Oryzias latipes: one gene and its partners. The protein of the gene in region 2 purifies or fractionates together with the protein of the main gene of each other region. This does not show direct contact. Links are inferred from orthologs where the notes say so. Each region holds a gene or a part of one and is shown on either strand. Other genes may lie near its edges. The genes, in order: ras association domain-containing protein 6, serine/threonine-protein kinase 3, microtubule-associated protein 1B-like and map1b.

Region 1 (5,240 bases), on a different chromosome or scaffold from region 2:
TTGAGTTTGTTTCGGATGTTGCACATATACTGCATTCTGTCTACCTCAAATGTGGTAGTACAAAACTGTATGCAAAGATGTCACAAAGAAAGAAAAAAGTCATTCCACCTTTAAAGGCAGCTGCTATGAAGAAAGACCTTAACAGCAGAAGAGACAGGTAATAATCAATTTTTAATTATGATTATTAACTGGTTAGACCAGTTAATAATCAGGTCTAACCTGGTTGTTACTTTGTTAAAAATAGTGTTTCTGCCCCCCTGTTGTAGTTACTAAAGTATATTAAAACTAAATCATATCTTTCATGCTACGTTCACATGCACCTACAGTTGGGAGAGGCTTGGTGCGAGGATGGTGGAAAAGCAAATTTAGTCAAACTCTATGCCTCTTTCAATAACTTTGTGTTGTTTTATGTTGAGCTTATCCTGCTCCTGCTGAAAATATTATTATTGCTAACACTGAATTTTAAACATGTTTTTAATGCTTAATTTAATGTATGCAACCAAAGGCTCTGTTCCTTATGAGAGTGCTACCCTGCGTCCTACAAGACGCAAGAATCAAGAACTGGAGTTGGAGTCTAACCTATTTCGCTGTATGAGCGATGCGTCATTAGTGAAGAGGAGGAGGCGAAAGGGAAAGTCAGCAGCACAAAGAGAGACTGAAAGACAGCACCGCTTCTCCATAAACGGACACTTCTATAACTATAAAGTGAGTTCCTGTTACCATAGATATTGGTTTGTATTTTTAGTCATAAACCTCTCTGATTCCATGTGCTCATTGTTGTTTCTGCAGACCTCCATCTTCACACCATCTTTTGGTACTTCAACTAAAGTGCGAATCTCCAGCAGGATGACCACTAACCAAGTCATTGAGCAGCTTTTAAATAAGTTCAAGGTGATTTTATTTCTCAGTTTGGAAACTTTAATGACTACAGATGACCAATAATACATATTGTTTTTTTATGTCCCACATCAGTCCTGCACTACAAGATCGACACTGTTTTCGCAATACTTCTTCTTTTCTGTACCTTTGAGTGAACATTTCAGCCCATAAACTGAAAAACTCACCAAAATTACAAAAAGGAAAAGGTGACATCATAGCAGGTGCAATTGTGAAAAAAACTAAAATGGTCAAAACCTCAAAAAACCTTTTAAACAACCAAAAAACAATAAGGTTGCTATGAAGATAAAATTAACAGAAAAGACGCCATTTTTTTAATTAATTTGTCTTGTGCAGCTCTGATCAGGGTGGCAGGGGAAGAAGGGGAGAGAATGATATGGGCATGTGGATGCCACTCAGCTAGTAAGGGTTGCCAGGAGGGCCCCGCAATGCTGCTGCCCCCGCAATGCTGCTTGCAAATTATTTTTTTTAATTAATGTAAAGACGCTGAATATGTGTTTTATTGTTTGCATTATAGATAGAGAATGATCCAGAGGAGTTTGCTCTGTATTGCATTCATCAGAGTGGAGGTAAGAAAAAAAGGAAAAAGTAAGGTGTCAAATTAAAAAAAGTTGGTTATGCATGTTGCTTTCTTTTGATCAGAGAAGAGGAAGCTGAGCAACAAAGATCTACCACTGTGGGAGCGGGTTCTGTATGGGCCCTCTGATGACATCATGAAGATCTTTCTGATGGACATGCATGAAGAGGAAGTCAGCAATGATGTAAACATAAATACTTAAGGGGTGACATTCACTTTAGAATTTTTAATGATTTTCTATTAAAGTAACCAACTAATTGAACAGAAACCATTTTTTTCAGACCAAAATCTTCGATCTTAAACAGTCCAAGGGAGTTTTATTGCTCACTGAGGTCATTTTTAAGGACTTGATTGATAAATAGACAATAAAATCCTAAAATAATATATTATTAGTTTTAAATAAAGGTTATGTCAATTTTTATTGTCCCTTATTTTATGTTACATCATTACAGCAAACTTTAGTTTAGCAAATAAACTACTTTGTTTGCTAAATATTTGTTTTAGAGCAACTTAATAGTTTTAAGAAATACATTCTTTAAATTTTAATTTAATTTTAATTTGTTTTTGTTTTTTTCCAGAAAACATATTTTTCATTTAGGTTTGAATTTTTTGTTATAGTTGCACTGTTTTGTTTTATCAGGTTGCTCAGTATCTGAACTTGGAGCACTCAATTCTGGAGCAGGTTCTTCTGCACCTCAAAGAGGAAGAGAACAGAGAAATACAGAGTGTAATCATTAAGTGAGTATATGATCCAACACATAGGCTTACACAAATGGACAACATTCTTGGTACTCTTCTATTATTTTCTTTTTTTTTAAAAAAGCCCAATGGTCACTTAAAAGATTAAGACTATTAACAGTAATTCCATGTATCTTTGAAGTTGTTCCTCAAAATCATTTTAGAGATTATGATATTTACCTCCAGGAAACTTTGAAATCAATTTGACAGTGGAGACATGTTCAACTGTGTGTCCTATGTATTCTTTTATTGAAGATCACAGGTTTATTTACAATTAGTCTGTTTATTTTGAGAGGGAGAAGCATATGGAGTCCTATACTGTTCATAATTAGATAAATAAATATTTAATTAAATAAATAAATATGAACTCATGCAAATACACAATAAACCAATAAATCTCTTATAAATATATAAAAAGATCATGAAATTGTGAAAAACCTGCATACTAATTTTAAATTAGCCATTATATTATTCAATATATTTCATTTTGCTTTGTTCATTATTTTAAAACAGCATTTTCAAATATTCATTTTTAATCATGTGGAATATTATTATAATTCTGTCTTCTTTCAGAAGCTCGTATTTCAAAATCAATATTTTCCAAAGTAGCTTTGTTTTTTCATTTCATGTTGGTGTTTTTCACAATGGCGTATTTATTTCATGAAGAGCTTTTTCAGGAGAATGAGTCCATCTGTCAATCAGTGAAAGTAGGCGGGATCTAAACGCCCATTGGCTCATCCATGGAAATCGACTCATATTCCTCGATACCCGCACAGCTGTGTGCCGGTCGGAGAGGTGACATATTTCAGCAATATCTGCACGGCTTTGCTGACATTAGAGATCAAATAGAGACAAACAATCTGTCTGCTGCAGAAGATGCAAACATGAATGACTCTGTTTTTGTAGTTTGAGGGTTTGTGTGGACCAAACCACAGAAGAGCTCCGGTCGTCCACGTCTATAAGTCCCCTGTTGAAACATTCCTCATTCTAACGCCATTCACTCAGAGCTCACATCGTGCCTTATGTCGGCTCGCAGGAGGTGAGCTGGCGGACCAACAGTCAGTCCAGGCAGCTGTGCAAAGCAGAACAAGCCTGCTGAGGCCTCCTGAACCTTATGATATTTTTCTATTTTCAATGAGACAATGATTATAATCAGGTCCTCTGATTTTATTTTTCCCTCCCGGGAAAATGTTGAACCTTTCCTGCGATGACGTTTCTGACCGTGGTCGGAAAACGCAGTGGAGATTCGGGATTGATTGAGCAATTCTGCAGCCAGGGCTTACTCCAAGAATCAGGCTCTGTACTTGGAGGAAACATTTTTTATTATTACTTTTCCGGGGGACTGGGCAACAGACGCTTAACTTGCGCTCACACACACACTCTCGCGCTGCCTGGGCGCTCTGATTTACACGTAATTTAAGACGTAGTTTGACTGCAGGACCTGAAGCAGAGGCTCTCTCTGGGATGATCTCATGAACTCAAACATGGAAACATTGTTATCATGTAGAACTATTCAAAATAAATAAACCTGATCTTTTAACACTCCATGTACATTGTGCATCCATGCATTGGTACTGAGATAAGCACAGGCAACCGTTCCATGTGGCTATCAGGCTAAAGTCATTAGCTGGTAGCCCATCCCACACGCTGCATGTTGCGTTCATGGAACTCCAGTTCATAGAAGTTTTGTGGAACTCCAACAACCACCCAGCCTAACTTAGGCCACTACTAGATGTTAATGAGAAGATGAAAACCGCTGAGCCGACCACAAAATCACCTGAATTATACACACTCGCCCAAAGCCACTTTTATCCGCAAATTTAGAACAAAAACTGCCCAATTTCTAGTAACACTGTGGATGTGTTGAGGTGCATCCTCCCCCTAGTGTTGAGGAGAGTGCATTGCGCCGTCACGTTTGGTGAAGCATCTTCGATTGATGTAGTCAAGGTGCTGCTGCTCATGTCTGAGTAAAGGAATAGCCAATCACAAAAGTCTCTCCGCCTTGTCTAGTTTGATTGACAGACAGAGACATTCTCCTGAAAAAGCTATTCATGAAATAAATAAGCCATTGTGAAAAACTGCAACATGAAATAAAAACAAAGCTACTTTGGAAAATATTGATTTTGAAATCCAAGGTTCTGAAAAAAGACGTAGAATTATTATAATATTCCACATGAATAAAATGAATATTTTAAAATGCTGTTTTAAAATAATGAACAGGTTTTTAAAGCAAAATGAAATATATTGAATAATATAATGGCTTATGTAAAATCGGTGTGCAGGTTTTTCACAGTTTCATGATCTTTTTATATATTTATAAGAGATTTATTGGTTTATTGTGTATTTGCATGAGTTCATATTTATTTATTTAATTAAATATGTATTTATTTAATTATGAACAGTATAGGACTCCATAGAAGCAGTCTTTGGTTTGTATCGCAGTAAACACGGACCACAGAAAGTAAATGAGAGATTTCTCAAGGTATTAAAAAAAAAACCTTTTGATTTGAGACAGTTGGAGCAGTTTGCCAAAGAATGGATCAAAAATGTTTTTGATAGATGTAGAGAAGCTGTTTGATTGCAGTGACTGCAATTGTATTTATAAAAAAAATATTTTTGCTCGTTTAGGTTCAGGTTTTTAGTTACCAGTTTTTAATAAAACTAAATGGTCCTCCAAAACTGCATTATATCTGACCTAAACAATTTTAACCCTTGTGCTATCCTAGGTATTTTAACATTGGGAGTTGGGTCATCTAGACCCACTAGACAGTGCGCTAAACCTTTTTTCTTCAATGATTTGTGATCTTCACTGGTGTCCATGGATTGGTAAATCTTTCCACCTTTATCCACTTTTGTCATGGTAGGGAGAACACGTCAAAGTTAGGGTGGGCTCATCTAAGATAGCACAAGGGTTAATCATCAGCTTTAAACTAACTTAAACACTGTATCTTCTGTTTTCCACGTGTGCAGTTGCCTTGGTTAATGTGTGTCCATTCAAATTTTCGCAGTAATATTTTTGAGCTGATGA
Region 2 (5,906 bases):
CCTCATCCCTCCATCAACTCTTCAAAGTTCTCTTTAAAACACTGAATAGTATCAAACAAACATCCGTTTGACAAAATTATATTCTGCGCACTCCTATTTTAGTCCTATGTTAATTCTAATTGTTAATTCTGTTTTCTTACTTCTCATGGATCCGTGGTCCTCGTGCTCCTCTTTATCATCCGTGTTGATGACCATGGTGCCCAGGTCGTCCAGGATGGTGGTGCCATGCTCGATCATGGTCTGAGCACCATCACTCATCGTGCCAGTGGCTCGCATGGTCCCTGCACCCTCTGAGCCCGATTTAACCATAGTGTGCGAGTCCACCTCTGTCTCTTCTTCCTAGATGGAAAGAAAAAAAAAAAAAGACCATCCATATAAGGTTCTCTATGGGAAAGTTTAACTACATCACTACTGTTTGGTTTTTTTGGTAACGTACAGAGTTGTCCTCTTCCTCCTCCAGCTCTCTCTGCTGCTCTTGCTGTCTTTTAGCTTTCATCTCCATAGCTTCTGTAATGAGATCTCTCAGGATTGTGACAGGCTTGGCTTGGCTGATAAATGGATGCTGGAGAACGAAACAAAAAAACATATTATTGCTTAAAGCAAATTGTTCTGCATAATTTAATCAAAGTTACACGTGGGCTTTATCTTCCTTCTTCTGACCTGAAGCAGCTGAGTGGCTGTGGCTCTCTGCTCAGGATTCTTCACCAAACACTTCTTGACAAAGTCTGTGAAGTCATCCGACCAAAGCTCCGGCTTCCTGAACGTAGGAGGAGGGTTGGTGGGGATCATGAAAATGGCCTGCAGGGGAACGTTTTTTACAGGAAATGATGAGAAACAAAAACAAAGGAAAAGGAAGATTACGAACAAACATTTTAGCACTCACTCTCATAGGATGGATGTCGGCATATGGAGGTTTGCCTTCTGCCATCTCGATGGATGTGATGCCCAGAGACCAGATGTCTGCAACACAGTTGTAGCCGATCTCTTGGATCACCTCTGGTGCCATCCAAAACGGGGTACCAATCACTGTGTTTCTCTTTGCCATGGTATCCTTCAGTAGTAAGTAAACAAGAACATCATTTGGCTTTAAAGTCATGCTCTGATGAAAAGGGTGGGTTTTTCTTTTAGCTTTTTTCCTGCTCTGCTTAATTCTGATGCATCCACTTGTAGACGACTACATCCACGAACGTCTTCGTATTCCTCGTCTGAGCTGGCATCTAGATCAAAACTGGTCCGGTTGGATTGTTCCAATATTGCTCGCTATTTTTGTTGCAGCGATAATGTTAGGTTAGGGGTGTGAGGAGGTGTAAGCAAAAGGGAGAGTACAAACAGCTCTCAGATATGGGTGATGGGGAATGGGGGCGTTGCTCCACGCTGCAACTCAGAGGTGAATTTCCTGTGTCCTAGGAAATGACACAGGTTTTTGGATTTTGGCTGGCTGAAAACAGTTTTATCGTTATTGGGAGCATGTTTAAAATAGATCTAAGTATGATTTGTGTGGATCAAAAAAAAAAATTCCAGACCAAGTTACACAAATCAAATAAACATAAGTGGATCATTTCTTCTTGTTTACCGTCAACTGTCCTGCTACTCCAAAATCTGCCAGTTTCGCGTGACCCTCAGTGTTGAGAAGGATGTTTCCAGCCTTGATGTCACGATGAATCTTCCTCATGAAGTGAAGGTATTCAAGACCCTTCAGGGTTGATTTAAGGATGGTGGCAATCTCATCTTCTGTCAGCTGGACCATGAAAGCAAAGCAAAAACAAAACAAAAAAGGGCAGGGCGAGATAAACCTTGGTGTTAATAAAAGATCAGGGTAGTCATAAATAAATACATTATTTCTTCAGCCCAAATAGACTAACTGTAGTCAAAATTGGATTATTTCTGCTTCTTTTAAGTGTTTCTTTTCAAGTAGGGAAGAAATCTAACAGATCAATCTTACAACACATTCTAACCATAAACTTAAAAGGCTCACCGTCTTGTTGCGGAGTCTGATTATGTCAGAAACGGATCCAGCTCCGCAGTACTCCATGACAATCCAAAGGTCTGTGTTTTTGAAGTAGCTGCCATAGTATTTCACTACATAAGGGCTGGAAAGAGGTTCAGAGCAAAGTTTGTATTTAAACCTCAAAAAAAGGGAAGTATTCCTGCAAACATCAGAGTGCAGAGGAGCTTGAGTTTGACTAATTCTTTGGATAGTTTTGATCATCTAATGTACTCCACATGACACGGATAAGCATTTGCAGAGACATCTGGAATTCTCACCTGTCACACTGCTGCATGATGGAGATCTCTTTGATGATTTCCTGTAGATCTGACTCCACTGGAACCTGCTTGATGGCCACAACCTGTCCTGACTCTTTATGAATGGCTTTAAAGACACTGCCATAGGAACTAAGCACACACCAAAGCTAGTCACACACCACACCAGGGTGCGCAAAACCAATGTATAACACAACAATCAACTGTAAAAAAGGAAAGTACAGGATGAAAAGAAAAAAGGAATCAAAGTTCTTACCCTTCACCAAGTTTTTCTAATACATCAAACACTTCCTCTGGCTGTTTTGTCAAGCTGTCCTCGCTCAGCTTTTTCAGCTTGCTGCAGTTTAAAGAAAGTCATCTTATTATTGACATCAATAGACAATATAAATAATAAATAGCCCAGATAGTTTTAGGTAATGCAGAGGGAACAATATGAGATTTATTTACTCAATTAATATAAATACGTTTTAATTAATTTTGCTTTGATTACCATATTTAACAGAGAGCAAGAAACAAATAAAATGTCTACCAAAAAAGACAGATTTGTTAATTGTTTATTGCTATCAGTATGGATTTCAACACAATAGTTAAGACTTGAAGTGTTTTCTTAGTTTTTCAATAACAGGCTTAAAAACAGCACAACTAGAAATCCTCCAATGAAACGGCTTTCAAAAATGACCAGGAAGTGACTTCATGTTACTTGATTAAGGCCCTGTGGGTTTTTGCTCGTCATGTGAAAAGGTTTTAAGAAGATGTAGTTTCACTCACTCAGGATTACTGTCAACCATAAAAAGTATTAAAACCTAACTTATTTTGTCAACACAATGATACTGTATTAGTAAAATTCACATTTAATTTCAAATATAAAATTCAATAAAATGAGGAAAACCAACAAAGCAACCAAATAAAAAAGCCAATTGTGTGTGCAAAGTCTGATTTATGTATTGTACTGTATATGATACAACAAAATACAACTGAATTAAACTTTATTGATACAAAAATTGGAAATTACCTTGTTACTATAGCTCTAATAAAAACAGCAGATAGAAAATATTTCTATAAATATTAGGTTATGAACATGTTAAAGTTTCAAATGTATTTAAAATTAAAATATAATGCCAAACAGAAAAGTACATTATATGCTTATGATGTAATTGCATAACAAAATAATACTTAACTGGTTTTGAAGAACGCAATAAATTAAATTACATTTTGTAAATAAAATTTGCTACTGTTTTCGTTATTTTAATTGCTGTACGCGCACGTTTTAAATACATTAAATTTGCCTGTAGGGACAAAAGGCAAGACGTTTTATAAAATGTACACTTTTTTGTTGTTCCTTAAAATTGTGATTAAAAATGTGTCACCGTTTCGAAATTTCAACGTCAATTTTGAAGTGAGGAAGTACAGAATAGTAGGGCCTATATCCATGTAAATAGAAAGTTTCAAACAAAACCACTGGAGTTTAACGACTAAATGAGTTAGCTTAGCATTAGCTAGTAGGGGCTCAGCTAGCATCCGATTATGCTAAAGTTTGAACAATTGGAATCTTTACAAACCTTTTAGGCGCGGTTGGCTCCATCATGAATCAACTCGAAAACGTAAATTTAAGGAGCGCTTTTAAAAAAGATTGCCGTTTTGTCACTATGGAACGAACGTGTGAACATTGTCGGCAGACAAGACGCGTTGTTGTCAGAAACTAGCAGAGGGCCAGCTGAGATGGGCGCTTCATCTTCTTCGTGGAATCTAGTGAGGGCAATGCACAAAAGATCTAACGCATTACCGCCACCTCGCGGCTTCAAGGGTTACCTACAAAGTCGGGAAAACGTGGCCTGTGTTTTTTATGAAAGAAATGACAGCAAAAAAACAACAACTTCAACAACAAACTCAAATTGCACTGTAATTTTTTGTTTAATTTTTAAAGATGTAATTTTAAAGTTATATAAATGTTTTCACGTTACACTGGCATTATTTTGGAAACAAAGAATTGATTTATGTCCGAGGAATAGTATGTACTAATTTTAGATTTTATTGGGATTCATTTAAAGGGTATGGGGCGCCGAATGTAAAAATTAACCTCAGGAAAATTATGTCTCAGTTTCACCACATTTAGACATTTCTTTCCCATAAAAGGGCCTATATTATATCAATTTATTCCGATACAGTGGGGCAAAAAAGTCAGCCACCACTTGTGCAAGTTTTCCCACTTAAAAAGATTAGAAAGACCTGTAACTTTCATCACAGGGATACCTCAACTATGAGAGACTAAATGAGAAAAAACAATTAAGGAAAGTTCAACTCAATGCTTTGTTACATACCCTCTTTTGGTAATGACAGCAGTCAAACGTTTTCTGTAAGTCTTCACAAGGGTTTCACAAACTGTTGTTGGTATTTTAGCCCATTCCCCTTTAAAGATTTTCTATGGGGGTTGCGATCTGACAGGCTAGGCCAAACCAGGACCTTGAACTGCTGTTAAGAAGCTACTCCTTTTTTATCCGGGCAGTGTGTTTGGGATCGTTGTCATGCTAAAAGACCCAGCCCCCTTTCATCTTTAGTGCTCTTGCTGATGGAAGAAGGATTCACTAACTAACTCACTGTGAGTCGTTCCTGGCTTGAAGCAATGAGAGGGAGCAATTTCTATCACCTCCACCTATGCCCGTTCTTCCATTGCCTTTCTGACTGCTCACGGTTTATGGCTACAACACGAGGGTCTGTTTAGGATGGCGACTGTGCTTATGAGGCCGTGTCAATTCACCAAGATTCCTCCCCCCAGCTGATCTATGTGGACCGCGACTGCTGCACCAGAGATGCCGTGTCCAGGGCAGCTGACGTATTTTTGGTTCAAACTCATCATGTTTTCATTACATGTTCCAAATGTTCCAACTTCTCAACCAATCAAATGGCCTGATTCGTTCCAATTTCAACTCTGAAACTTTGGGGGTCCAATCAGAGAGCTGGATTTGTTCCAATTTCTCGCCCCCGCCCCCCTTCTTTTACTGTCATGACTGCCGTCTTCCTGGTTGGACGTAAGTGCTGTTTTTCCTTTGATTTAACGAGAAATCGATGGTTTTAAGTGCTGAAACGATGTTGAATGTTTGTGTTTTTATTAAAAGATGCGCTTTTAAATTTTGAAACTTTCACTTTCTGCTCACAGTTGTGAGAGCCTTTAACTTCTTCGGTCTGATGTTGTATCTTTTCCTAAATCCCAGCATCCTGGGACCAGCATACTCTGTGTCTTCAAGTTCTCCAGCCGGCAGAAAAAGTGGGAAAGGGCTGTGATTGAGCAGGAAGCTGGACTCCTTCCTGCTGCTCCAGCTGTTTCCTTGCAGCCTATACCTGCAGCTGAAGGGCTGTCCTTGGTTCAGGCGGGACAGCCCTTCGACGACAAGATGCCAGAGGAGAAGACGCCTCTGCAGCAACACGTTCCAATGATGAATCCTAGCCGCCCCTGAGGCTCCACCACCATCACCTCCTCCTCCTCCTGAGCGTGTGCCCAGGACCACCGCCTTCAGGAGGAGGAAAGTGTTGGAGGCAGCAGCTGCAGCACCAGAGCAAGACCTTCCAGCAGGGACAGAAGTCCGCCGACAGGTTGTGCAGACCACCTGCAGAAACGGATTTCTGGGACGCCTAACTGCGCAGCTGCA
Region 3 (6,000 bases), on a different chromosome or scaffold from region 2:
CCTGGAATGGACCGACCAACCAGGGGTCTGTCCAGCCCTCGCCTGAAAGTGGTGGGGATAGGCTCCAGCAGCCCTGAAAGGGATTAAGTGGGTTTGGAAAATGGATGGAAGGCCATGAGCCTCTACAGCTGCTTCCAGTCCAGCACTGGAAAAGTACACATCTGGCCTGTGATTGGACAGAGGTGGGCAGTTCTTGAATTGAAAAGTCCTGGTTTGGTTTCTCTGGTTGACTGAAAGTCCCTCTGGATTCACAGTGAAGTGAACCGCAGCAGAGACAAATACACACAGATGCCGTTGTTAAGAAGACCAGAGCTCTATAGGTCTGTGTTACTGCTATAACTTAATATATCTGACTTTGTTCCTTTTTGTCAGTCTCTTGCTGCCCTCTTAGCAAACAGGAAGCCTCGCTGAGTTTGGTTCTTCTGCTGCTTCCACATCTTCCATTTTTCCTCTCCACTGACGCTCTTTGTTTCCTCAAAATAAAGTTGAGCTCATCTGGCCTTCATAGAATGATCAAGACTGAATCAATTAAAACAATCATGTGATTTGACCTTTCACTCCTTTTGTTCAGCGCTTTGGTGGAGAATTGACGCTTTGTTTGCTTCAGTCGGGGGAAATGTGTGATTAAAGCGCCGTGTGAAATCAAACCAGACCAGATGAAAGGAGGCTGGACAGAAAGAGGCCTCGCAATGGTTTGCAGCTATGAGTATTAGAGAAACGTTAACCCTTGTGCTATCTTAGATGACCCCACCCTTACATTGACGTGTTCTCCCTACCATGACAAAGGTGGATAAAGGTGGAAAGATTTCATGTAATCCATGGACACCAGTGAAGATCACAAATCATTGAAGAAAAAAGGTTCAGAGCACTGTCTAGTGGGTCTAGATGACCCAACTCCCAATGTTGACGTAAGCATCATAAAAACACATTTTACAACCATGCTTTAGCTTTTGATGTGTTCATTTCTGTGCGCAGACAGGAAGATGACGCTTAAGCACACACGCATGTGTTTCTGGTCTGTTGACAGTATTTTTTACTTGCAATCTATGACCCCCAACAACACAACAATCTAATGTCAAACTTGAACAAAACATCCACATTTCTACACTCTGACTGCAACTTTGTTGCAGACAGGAAGCTGAAGCTGAAGCTGTAGTGTTTTCGCAGGAAAACACTACAGCTTGTTGGGATTTGAACAAAGGTCAAAAAACGCTTCAGGGTCAAATCTGCCATTTTTACGGAGGTCTACTGACATTCAGAAGCAGAAGGTAGAGCTGAGCAGCTCTGATGTGATCACATGACCCACAAATCTATTTTTATTCAGCCAAATTTCAAAAGTGTTTCTAAGAGGTTCTGGTTTAAGTCACTTTTAGAGCTTTGATAAGTTTTTCTTGAGAACCAGAAGTCATCAGGGAGATTTTGAGAAATGTATGAGCTCAGCAATGTGGTTGAAAACTAAAATGTGAAGTCTGCAACGTGAAAACGAAATAAGGAAGGAGTCTCTTTCAGGCAGAGGTCTTCCTCTGAATTCACTGCAGACAAATTCAGGATTGATGGCTAACACCACGGCACAGATCTGCCTGATCTACCATCAGCCTCCGTCTCCAATACCCGTCTCCCCTCTGCCAGTAAGCCGTGATTGGATGACCCAAAATGCTTGATACAATTCAAGAACCACAATGAGAAGATCCAACCCCACACACAAACACACACAACCCACGGGTCAAACTTTTCAGATTAAACACAGAAGCCAGCTTTTTGTCCAAAACCACTGCAGAGGCTCTGAGATGTCCTCACTTCCTGGCAGATCAGGGGTCGTACGCTGATGCACAGTCGGAGCGATGCAACGGTCAGTGAGAGTCGTACCTCTATCACAAAAGAGAGAAGTTTCTAAATGCAGACCATGAAGTCGATGATGATGATGATGATGATGATGATGATGATGATGCTGCTGAGTCTCAAAGCAACAAAGCAGTTAAGAAAGTTGAAAATAAACTGCTCACGCTGTTCCGATCAATCCGTTTCAGTCAGACGGACACCAGCTTAGTTTTTCCTATCTATAGCAGATGAGCCACTTCCTCAGCAAACAGGAAGTTGCTGATGTGTCGCAGTTCAACTTCCTCTGTGTGATGGAGCCTCAACAACCTTCTCATCTGAAGTTTGTGTCCGTGTTGGTAGAAACGGTCCGGTTCCACGTCTGCCTGACACAAACTGGACTTGTGCCAATCTGGTACAATGAAATGGTATTTTTTTGTGTTTTTAACATGTCCTTGCAACATTTTCTCATGATGGAGAACACATATGAGAAGTTTGAAAAAGCTACTGCTCTGTTCTATTCTGATGCATCCACTGTCAGACAAATGGATCCATGTCCGTCTTTGTTTTCCTCTGTCTGAGCTGGAATCTGGATCACAACTGTACAACTGGATAGCTCCAATACTGTTATTGTTGCACTGGTAATATTAAGTTAGGGGTGTGAGGGTCACCTACACAGGGGAGTGTAAACAGATGGATGATGGGAAGTGGTGGCAGGCTTACTCCACGTCAATAGTCCCGCCCAAAACTAAGAGGCAAATTTTGAACGTTTTGATGTCTGATTAAAAGTGATTCTTTTTTCACTAAAGTGTCCGGATTATTGGAACTTTCCTCTTGCAAAACGTAACATTTCCAAAACAACATCCGGCGGAACAGAATTTCAAAATAAGGATTAAGTGGAGTAAACCAAATAATTCAGCCCATAAAGTTTTTTTGACCACAGCGTTTTGCATGTTATCAGGGTTGAATCAGATACCAGATCTATGCAGTAGACCAGTGAGAAGACTTTCATCTTGACAAGACATGTCTAAACTGAACAGGAAACAAAGCAATCACTTCAGAAAAAGAAAACAGACGTGTTAACAATAACGAATAACTAGATTTTTTTTTTCATAAAGTATGTGTCTGTATTTTCAAACGTACTCATTCGGGTGGTTTCTCGCGTAGGACTAAACAGAGGACTTAGTTAGTTGGGTCGGCTTTTATTGTGAAGGGCCTGCGGACTTCCTCCGTGTAGTTCGGCAGTGGCTCGGTTCTGCTGTGGTCTAGCATTCACTCACCTGCCTCCACTTGCCTCAACAGCCGCTCCAGTAGGTCGGCGGTCTGCAGCGCTCCCACCACCACCAGAACCGAGTAATCAGGCCCAGAAGAACCGGGACCGCCACCCCGCTCCGCCGCCATCATGGACTGTCCACTCCTGACGTCATCCGGCTGCGCTGGGACCGGAGGCGGGACTGCGGCGATGCGAGACCCATGAAACAACCAATCAGGGATGAGATATGAGTCAAGCTGACCAATCACAGGTTGAGCATTTAGCACAACTTAAAACTAACCAAGATAAGAGACCAAACTTCAAAGCTGTTGGACTTCTGAACAGAAAACACTTTGGATACCAATTATTAAGAAAAGAATGAACCGGTTCAAATATTGCTATGGAGCTAAAAACTGGGGTATTTGCTGCTAAATCTAAAATTCAATGTCTAAATTACATTAACTACATAAATAACGTCACAAACGGATGTGGCGTCAGTTTCGTGTTTTTTAAAATGGGTGAAACTGCTAGTTTACAGTAAACTTTTGCTTTTTTGCCCGGTCTTCCTGCATTTAAGCACGTGAACGCGGCGTCGGCGGCGCGCTCATCATGTCCGTCATGGCGTCCCCGCTTCCCAACAGATGTAACTTCTTCCTGGAGAGGAAGAAACGTTTCTGTAAGATGATGGTGGGGAAGGGACAGCGCTTCTGCGGGGAACATGCGAACGCGGTGAGTTCACGTGCTGACGCTAGGATTTGGCGAGGCGCGTGGTGGGAGAAGGCAAGCGGACAATCACGTGGCTTTAATTCAGTTTTCACTCTCACCAGAGGACAGTACCTGCAGCTTATCGCTGCCACGCTAGTACAGCAGCTGAACTGCAAAAGTTTTTGCATTAATATTTTAACTTTTACGGTAAAACTGTAAGAAAGGCTTTAGGGTGCGTTCAGGGTCTGCACGCAGCCCACAGCCACTCTTGGCACACGTTACTAGTGATGGAGACACCAAAGCTTTCTGAACCCAAATGAATCTAATTGTATTGAAGTGGTTCAGGGTTGTGAAGCATTTGACACACTGAAACTAGTCACATCTATTGGCCAGACTACAAAATTGCATCAAAATGGAACAAAAAACACCAGCATGCCGTGAATGAGTCCTTATGTGTGTCAAACTGCCCCCCAAATCGTGTTTTTAGAGTTTTCAAAATGTGTGACGTTTTTCTTATGAAAGAAATGTAGTAAGAAATCACTTCATTATTGCATTTGTGAGTATTTCTCCTTTTTAAATCGCTGTCAATGAAATGATCACAAATGCCCACGAGTGCATCTGCATGAACAAGCTCCCTGATCTGTCAAAAATAAACATTAAATGTGCAAGAAATAGAAATTGACAGAAAATCAAAAGTGAATCTAGATGAGATGGCAGAAGTAAACAGATGATTTTTGAGTTTTTTTCTTTTTTTGTTTTGAACGTAAAGGGTCAATGTTAAGGAGATCCGGAGGGAGGGAATTCCAGAGTTTGGGAGCCGAGCAGCTGAAGGTGCTCAGCTTCCCATGGTAACGAGTCGGGCCGGAGGAACAGAGAGCTGAACGGAGGAGGACAGAAGAGAACAGAGGTTTTGTTTTTTAATGGAGTACGGTAGGTTGGTAAGATAAGGAGTCAGGTTATGGAGGGCCTTAAAGGTAAACAGCAGGAGTTTGATTCTGGAGGTTATGGGAAGCCAGTGCAGCTGGTGGAGAATCTGGGTGATATGACTGAAGGAGGAGGTTCTGGAGGTGATGCAGGCTGCTGAGTTCTGGACCAGTTTTGCTGCCTAAGTCTAAGTTGAAGCTTATTGAGGTTTGTTTTAGGGAGACCAAAGAGGAGGGAATTACTGACTGTGGACCAAAATAGAATTAGAGCGGATGGTGAGGGAGGAGTGTAGGCAATTAATGTTACGTAAATGGAAATGGGCAGACCGAGCAATGTTATTAAAATGGAACTGAAAAGATAAAGAACTATCCTGGGTGACACCCAGACTCTTCACCTGCAGGGAGGAGGAAGATCAGTGAAAGAGTAAAACTTGTGGCTTTGGAAAGGGTGGACTTGGAACCGACGAGAAGTAGCTCGGTTTTATCACTATTGAGTTTGAGAGAGTTTAAGGTGAACCAGTTTCTGATTTCAGACAGACAGGAGGGGAGGGAGGAGGGTGGAAGAGAGGACTCAGCTTTGCTTGATACATAGAGCAGGGTGTCATCCAGAAAAAATAAACATTTATATTAAATTTACAGAAAATATTGCCAAGGGGTAAAAGATGAGTAATGAAAAGAAGAGGACCAAGGACATAACCTTGGGGCACACCAGAAGAGACAGAGGAAAGCAGAGATTTAAATGATTTAAGCTGAATGAATTTGAAGGCTTGCTGTCCCGCATTAACCAGAGAGTAAAAATAAAAACAAGAATAAAATCAGGGGACCTTTTTATTATCCTCTCGATGAAAACTAGAAAAATATCATGAAGAAGTCTGGAGACCCGAGCAGGCTGGCTCCTCATCCTGCAGCGGCTCTCTGTCTGGCCGCCAGCTCGCCTCCCGGGAGCCAGCATAGTGATCGTGATCGCTCCAGCTCCATGGGCCCAGAGAAGGACCGTCCACTGTTTACCCAACTGTAGTCGGGACGGGTTTCCAATCTTTATGACCCTGATTTGGCTCCCTACAATGAAGCAGCAGCAGTATGAGGTAACAGCAGGAAGGTACCGTCAACAGCTGCAGCTGAGCCATCAGTGACGTGCTGCATACTGCTCTTTGTATCAAAAGGGGATTTTCATTGTAGTTTCTTTTTTTTTGTGTATCAGCCCAAAAATCTTTACAGCCCAGCAACTTTTCTTTTGTTGCCATAAGTAGACTGCAGCAGGCCAAATTTCAGATATGCTCAAAACTTTTTGCTGACTGAAGACGT
Region 4 (5,717 bases), on a different chromosome or scaffold from region 2:
GCTTATTACTCCCAGAACAACTGTGCATCCAGGCAGCAGCTCACTGGAGGAGGATGGAGAGCGAGAAATGGAGGATGGGAAAGAGGTGAAAACAAAAGTGGGATAAAAGGCAACGGGAGACCGGAGCTTCATTGACAGTTGCTTTGAATAAATCATTGTGTTTGTTGTAATGCAGTTTTGTGCAGCAATTTCTGCTACTTGATGCATGTCAAGCTGTAAATAAATGTAGTCATCTGGTCTAGAGCAGCTTCTGTTGACAGGATCAATTTATCAAACAGCCAGGCAGATATAACAGGTTCATATGTGACGTGGAGCCGAGATGGAGCTCTTCTGACCTTCAAGGCCGTGCCGTCTGCTGAACCTGCTCCCTCTTAAAAGAACTGCTCCTTCACCTCGTAAAGGATTCAGCTTTAAAAATGCCATGCTACAAATACGGAGAGGGGGATAAAGCCTGAATTCTGACAGCAATAAGAAGAGATTTAGGTTCACTGCCATGTGGCAGGGTACATCACTGAGAAGCAGTGTGCATTCAAACTCATTTGAAGGTTTTTCTTTTAATGATTTTAAACTACACACCACCACGGTTTCCTAGCAAATGTCATTTCACTGTTTCAGTTGAAAATACTTCAAGAGCTATGTTGCCAGATCCTTAAATATCATAGAAAGTATTAATATTGGTGATCCAATGTTATGCTGACAGACTCGCATAGATTTTGTGATTTAAATAGAAGAATAGATTTGATAACAAGAAGCCATTTTCTCCAAAACAGAAAAGCTTGTTCTGGTTTGCCGATAGTAACCCAATTTGAATGGACAAATAGAGCTAAAAAACTCAAATGATTTACACCTTCATCTGGTTTGGCTTCACACTTCACTGTTGAGATAGGATAAAACTGTCTCTGTCCACTGTCCCTGGAAAAATTACACACTAACAACTGTTCATGTGCACTGATTAAGAAAAAAAAAACAACACAATGAAAGAAAACGTGTCTTTCTCAATGACATATTTCCAAATGATTTTAAATCAAAATGATTCTGCATTTTTTTAAATCAATGTTGCAGGTGTTCGCATTTGCCAAATACAGTGAACTACCCAAAGGAACAAATGTTTCCCAGTTTGAAAGCAGCATTTCTTTTGTTTCCTTTTGTTGTGGGGCAAAAGAAGAAACAAAAGTTCTGTGCAAATCTATAGAAAAAATTTACTGTGAGGAGGTAAATGCACTTTTCAATACACAAAGACTAAAAAAATTAGAACTTTTTGGTGAGTAAACTAAGCAAAGATTGGACATTTCAACAGATGAAGTTCAGAAACACCATTAAAGTTTTCAATTTTACACCCAGCAATCAGCATTTTTGCAAAACCATATTTTGCCATGAGGTTTTTCTATGAACGTCTTAAAAAAAACAAAGAAGGAAAACAGTAAAGTCTTTATTTGGTAAACAATGAAGAACATTTTAACAAATAAAGCTGGGATATTTTTATATACCGGTAAGTATTTTGCAGAAAAAGCGTGTATGGATGATTCTTAGCCGTAGCACAATTTATAATGATAAAAATTAAGAAGCCCATATACTTTTTAAAACCCTCAAACAGATTTGAAGTCAAAAGGGGATATTTTTTGTGACAATTTAAAGTGACAATTAATTAAAGTGACTATTTAATTTGTTGCCGTTTAGGTGATAAAGGGTGTTTTATTTTTAATTTTTTTTACATCAATAAGATCATTGAGGTTCCCTGGGAATTGAAGTGGAGAAAGTCCCTTTCATGAAAGCAGAACAGCTTGGTATTGATTAGAGACTAACGATTCAATTTGAAGGGACAAACAGAATCAAACCGTGGCAGCAAAATGCTTTTCAGATCACAGCTGAGCGGCCAGATCCTCAAACAGCAGGGAGTCAAGGTTTCTGATTTTTTTCCTCTTCAATCTGTTTACCATCTGTGCATCACAGAAAAAAATTGTCTCAAATATGTTTTTCTTCTTGTTTACCTTTGACATCTGCAGAAAAGCGAGCAGAGTGTCTGGAAACAAACAGCTTCAGCTCCTGGTCCAGGTTGCAGTCGATCAGATTTGTGTCCCAGGAACGGATTCCTGCACAACACAAACTATTTTAAGACATTTCAGGAAAAGAAAGGGGAAAAAAAAGACACCAAAGTGTGTAAAAAGTCGTCTAGACATCTGCCCCACTTCCTGTTCACTGGAAAACGTTTAGATTGGTTACTGATTTGGCAGAAGCCATGAAATCTATATTAGGAAACATCCATAGTGCTGTTTATGTTTTGCCGTGGGCCACATGAACCCGGGGTCTCTGCTGTACTGAGTCATGGTGTCATATCCTCCATTTTTTTCAGTGTCAAGGCCTAATGATGACCTCCAAATAAACTTTGCCAAGTCATCAAACTAAAAAAGAATCGATCAAAACAAACAAAAATGACATCTCATCCATAAAATAGGTAATTTGGAATAAGAAAAACACAGAAGGGCATCTGTAAAGTAAAGTTTCAAGAACATTTGATATTTTTTTTAAATAATTGTGTAAAATCTGAAATAATAAATAATGCATGTAGACAAAAACATAAATATAAAGAAAATTCGTTTATTCTTTAACCATGCTCTTATTTACAGATAAAGCGTCCTCGTTTACTGCGCCACATTCTCCTCTTCTTACGGCTCCCTCAAACAAACAGAGCTCTTTGGCATCAGCCGCAGCTGGAGAGTCTCTGAAACGCCCTCCTCCAACTGAATCTGGACCCTTGTGGCTTTCCGTAGGGACCGCAGTGCGGACAGGGCCACGCCCACAAGCCGGTGTGGGATGAGAGAGCTGGATGCAGGATTAGGATCGTGATGGTTTCTTGTCACAGCAGCAGGAAAATCCCGCCTGCTTTTGTTTTATTAATCACAAAAAAGTGACAATTTGAGCCTAAAATCGCGTTTTTTGGGGGGAAAAAAACACAGAAGAGAGCAGACAGCCCCCCCCCATCTCGATGTGTCCGCCTCCTGACGAACAAAAGGCCTCAGTAGAAGCTCCAAGATGGAAAAAGTGCTGCTTAGACCGACTTCTAGAAATGCATTTTTGGAGGTGATGCTGCAGAAGACGCGTTTACAGCAAGGATGCCTTCTGGGAAACGGTTAGGATCTACCCCCGCAGTCTGAGCTGCATCAATAAATAAAATAAATAATATTTTTTTAATCTGTCAAATAAAAAAAGGTTTAGTGTGATTTTGAAGCTCTAAAACGCATGCGTAATTGGCCTGGCATCATTTCCACCGTAACATTCCTCTTAATGACAAAACAAATTCAAACTTTCAGGCACTATATCTCTCCTGAAAGAGTTCTTGGGGACTTGAGGTGTCAGTGGCCCACACCCACAGTCTCGCACATCTCCATCTTACCTTTTTCAATGTCTGCAATGGCACACTTGAGCTGATCGTCGCTGGTGATCTCCCCGATCACCACCAGCAGGTAGAATTTGCCGTCGTTGAAGTGATGGGACGGACTGGAGGATGCTGCTCCGATGCTGCTGCCCAGAACCTCCATTTCTGCGGATTCTACAAGTGTAGCCATCCTCTGCGCTGCTTCTCCTGTCTGTCTGTGCGGTTTATCCAAGCAGCAGTCTGCCTCCTCCTCCTCGTCCTCTTCCCTCTGATCTTATTCGCCACAGACTGCTGGAGTGGTCCCCAGACACTCGAGTGGAGCCCTTAAAGGAGTGGCCCTGGCTGTTTTATACCGGCAGACATTGTGTCACGCTCCGTCCGTGGCCGGGCACAGGAACGCGCGCCGGGAGCGATTTCGCACACTCACTCCTCAGCTGATGTCATCCGCAATAGAGAGGGTGCATCCGGAAGTCAGATATGTGCCGCTTTGGACTGTAATCTCTGCACATCCATCACTTTATTTCACTCATTAATTTAAAGTCAAATAAAGCAGAATATTTGCTAACTGCTCCTTTTCAGAAATCGTTGTTTCTTATGCATGTTTTCATGCACTTTTGACTTTCTGGACAAAAAGAAACCACAAGGATTTTCCCAAAAGATTAATTTGAAATGACTAAAATTTGTCTTTTTTAATTCAATTAATGACATTTCCTGCAAAAAAAAAAGGAAAAGAGCTTTGGAGCTGATTATTGTTCTTCTTTTGCTAAAAATATTCAAATAACTGAGAAGTAGGTGCAAAGGGGTAATTGAGCCACACATTATTAGTGCTAAACAGCAAAAAACAAAAAACAAATCTTTACTACAACAGTAAATAAAAACCCTGCTACAATTGAACCAAATAACTGTAAACATTGCTAATAAAATCCTAAATAAAATTGTAGAACAATGTAGAGAAAAATCATTAAGTAGCTAAAAAAAATACGTTTATTTGTAAATGCTCAGTTGACTCTTTCAGCATTGAAATTGTCTCAACAAAGTTGAAAAATGCTAAAATAAAGGCTTTAAATGCTGAAGTCCCTGAATAAACATAAATTAATCTTAAAATGTCATCGTCATTTTACTGGTAAAGCTAGGCTCATTAGGAAAACAAAAGCCCCTTTTTCAGTCAATTCTGCTGATGAGCTGCATTGTGGGATGTTTCCAAAGTTTTGTGGGCTGTGGAATGTGGAATATATTGTTCCTCTAATATCTATTTTGAAAAATTATAAAGTGTTTAATTAAAATATATAATGCCAAGTGTTCTCATGAAGATGCCCTTTTGCTGCCCTTTACAGCAAAAAAAGATAATTCCCTTTGTACTGAACTGATAATGTTGACAGATTTCAAAGCAGTTGTGCAGAAACCTAATTCCTAGATTTTTGTGGGTTTGTTGTGAATTAGTCAGAAATTGCATTGGTTCGTTGGCAAAAGCTCATTCCTATTATTGTCAGCTTTTTCATCCACAGTATTCAATTACAGTATCGTTGAATTGATATTTATAGACCAAAAATATGCAATTATACATAAATAAATAAATAAAAGGTAAGATAAAACTAAAAAGTGAAACAGAAAAGAGAAGAAAGTACCCTCCCTCCTAACCCACGAGGCTCTTAAACAGATGAAGGAACACTAAAAAGAAAGCATGATTGATAACAGTCTCTATTCCTCACATCCAAGTCATCAAACATCAAAGGTACATATTATCACATATTCGATAAGAGGGATCCATGTCACTGAAAATTTTTGTTGTGTTGATTTTACCTTGTATGTGAGCTTTTTCAAAGGCAGGAAGGAAATTACGGTAACTATTTTAACCATTGGGAGACCGAACGAGCTTCGTCAGATTTCCAATGGAATAAAATCCGTCTATGTGCGAGAAGAGTGGCGAATGCAATGGCACTTCCCTGGGATTGATTTGTTTTATGTTGAGGTGTCATGATTCCAAAAATACCAACCCCGGAAATTAGGTGTGAAATCTTTTCCATAGATGTGGGATAGGACCTGAAAGATATTTCTCCAGTAATTATGAAGGTTGAGACAGGACCAAATCATGTGTGCAAGATGCAGACATGTGCCAAAAGCTCATTTCATGTTGATATTTGCTCTGATGGAAATGTGAAAGAATTACCTTTTATTCTGAAAAAATGGAACAGAAACAAGTGCTTGTTCTGCAGAATCGTGTGATCAGAACCGCCGGGGTTAAAGACAGTCAGCCTCAAATGAAAGGACCTCAGATCACAGGACTCTTTTTTTTTTTGTTGTGTTTTTCCTTCCATTCCCAAAAAGGAAGTGTGTGTCGGTGGGT

The links.
Region 1: the proteins of serine/threonine-protein kinase 3 (region 2) and ras association domain-containing protein 6 purify together in Homo sapiens (affinity purification with mass spectrometry; 4 studies listed by BioGRID and IntAct, counting the BioPlex papers as one, with this or other methods). This does not show direct contact. The link is inferred for Oryzias latipes from reciprocal best matches to the Homo sapiens genes STK3 and RASSF6.
Region 3: the proteins of serine/threonine-protein kinase 3 (region 2) and microtubule-associated protein 1B-like purify together in Homo sapiens (affinity purification with mass spectrometry; 3 studies listed by BioGRID and IntAct, with this or other methods). This does not show direct contact. The link is inferred for Oryzias latipes from reciprocal best matches to the Homo sapiens genes STK3 and MAP1S.
Region 4: the proteins of serine/threonine-protein kinase 3 (region 2) and map1b purify together in Homo sapiens (affinity purification with mass spectrometry; 4 studies listed by BioGRID and IntAct, with this or other methods). This does not show direct contact. The link is inferred for Oryzias latipes from reciprocal best matches to the Homo sapiens genes STK3 and MAP1B.

Annotation. Positions count from the first base shown.
Region 1 is NC_019870.2:20,592,589-20,597,828, reverse strand, and holds part of ras association domain-containing protein 6, read left to right. Parts: intron 1-505; coding exon 506-705; intron 706-789; coding exon 790-891; intron 892-1,414; coding exon 1,415-1,466; intron 1,467-1,539; coding exon 1,540-1,658; intron 1,659-2,114; coding exon 2,115-2,212; intron 2,213-5,240.
Region 2 is NC_019869.2:24,048,693-24,054,598, forward strand, and holds the start of serine/threonine-protein kinase 3, read right to left. Parts: upstream 4,008-5,906; 5' UTR 3,848-4,007; coding exon 3,822-3,847; intron 2,600-3,821; coding exon 2,519-2,599; intron 2,395-2,518; coding exon 2,266-2,394; intron 2,091-2,265; coding exon 1,976-2,090; intron 1,739-1,975; coding exon 1,574-1,738; intron 1,052-1,573; coding exon 884-1,051; intron 799-883; coding exon 661-798; intron 563-660; coding exon 437-562; intron 340-436; coding exon 141-339; intron 1-140. UniProt on the Homo sapiens protein: Stress-activated, pro-apoptotic kinase which, following caspase-cleavage, enters the nucleus and induces chromatin condensation followed by internucleosomal DNA fragmentation.
Region 3 is NC_019862.2:5,880,211-5,886,210, forward strand, and holds the start of microtubule-associated protein 1B-like, read right to left. Parts: upstream 3,278-6,000; 5' UTR 3,220-3,277; coding exon 3,096-3,219; intron 1-3,095. Other genes in the region: trmt13 (tRNA:m(4)X modification enzyme TRM13 homolog), read left to right, coding at 3,446-3,485, 3,645-3,796. UniProt on the Homo sapiens protein: Microtubule-associated protein that mediates aggregation of mitochondria resulting in cell death and genomic destruction (MAGD). Plays a role in anchoring the microtubule organizing center to the centrosomes. Binds to DNA. Plays a role in apoptosis.
Region 4 is NC_019870.2:7,505,773-7,511,489, reverse strand, and holds the start of map1b (microtubule-associated protein 1B), read right to left. Parts: upstream 3,825-5,717; 5' UTR 3,564-3,824; coding exon 3,392-3,563; intron 2,451-3,391; exon of another isoform or gene 2,351-2,450; intron 2,154-2,350; exon of another isoform or gene 2,091-2,153; coding exon 1,989-2,090; intron 1,902-1,988; exon of another isoform or gene 1,493-1,901; intron 953-1,492; exon of another isoform or gene 1-952. UniProt on the Homo sapiens protein: Facilitates tyrosination of alpha-tubulin in neuronal microtubules. Phosphorylated MAP1B is required for proper microtubule dynamics and plays a role in the cytoskeletal changes that accompany neuronal differentiation and neurite extension.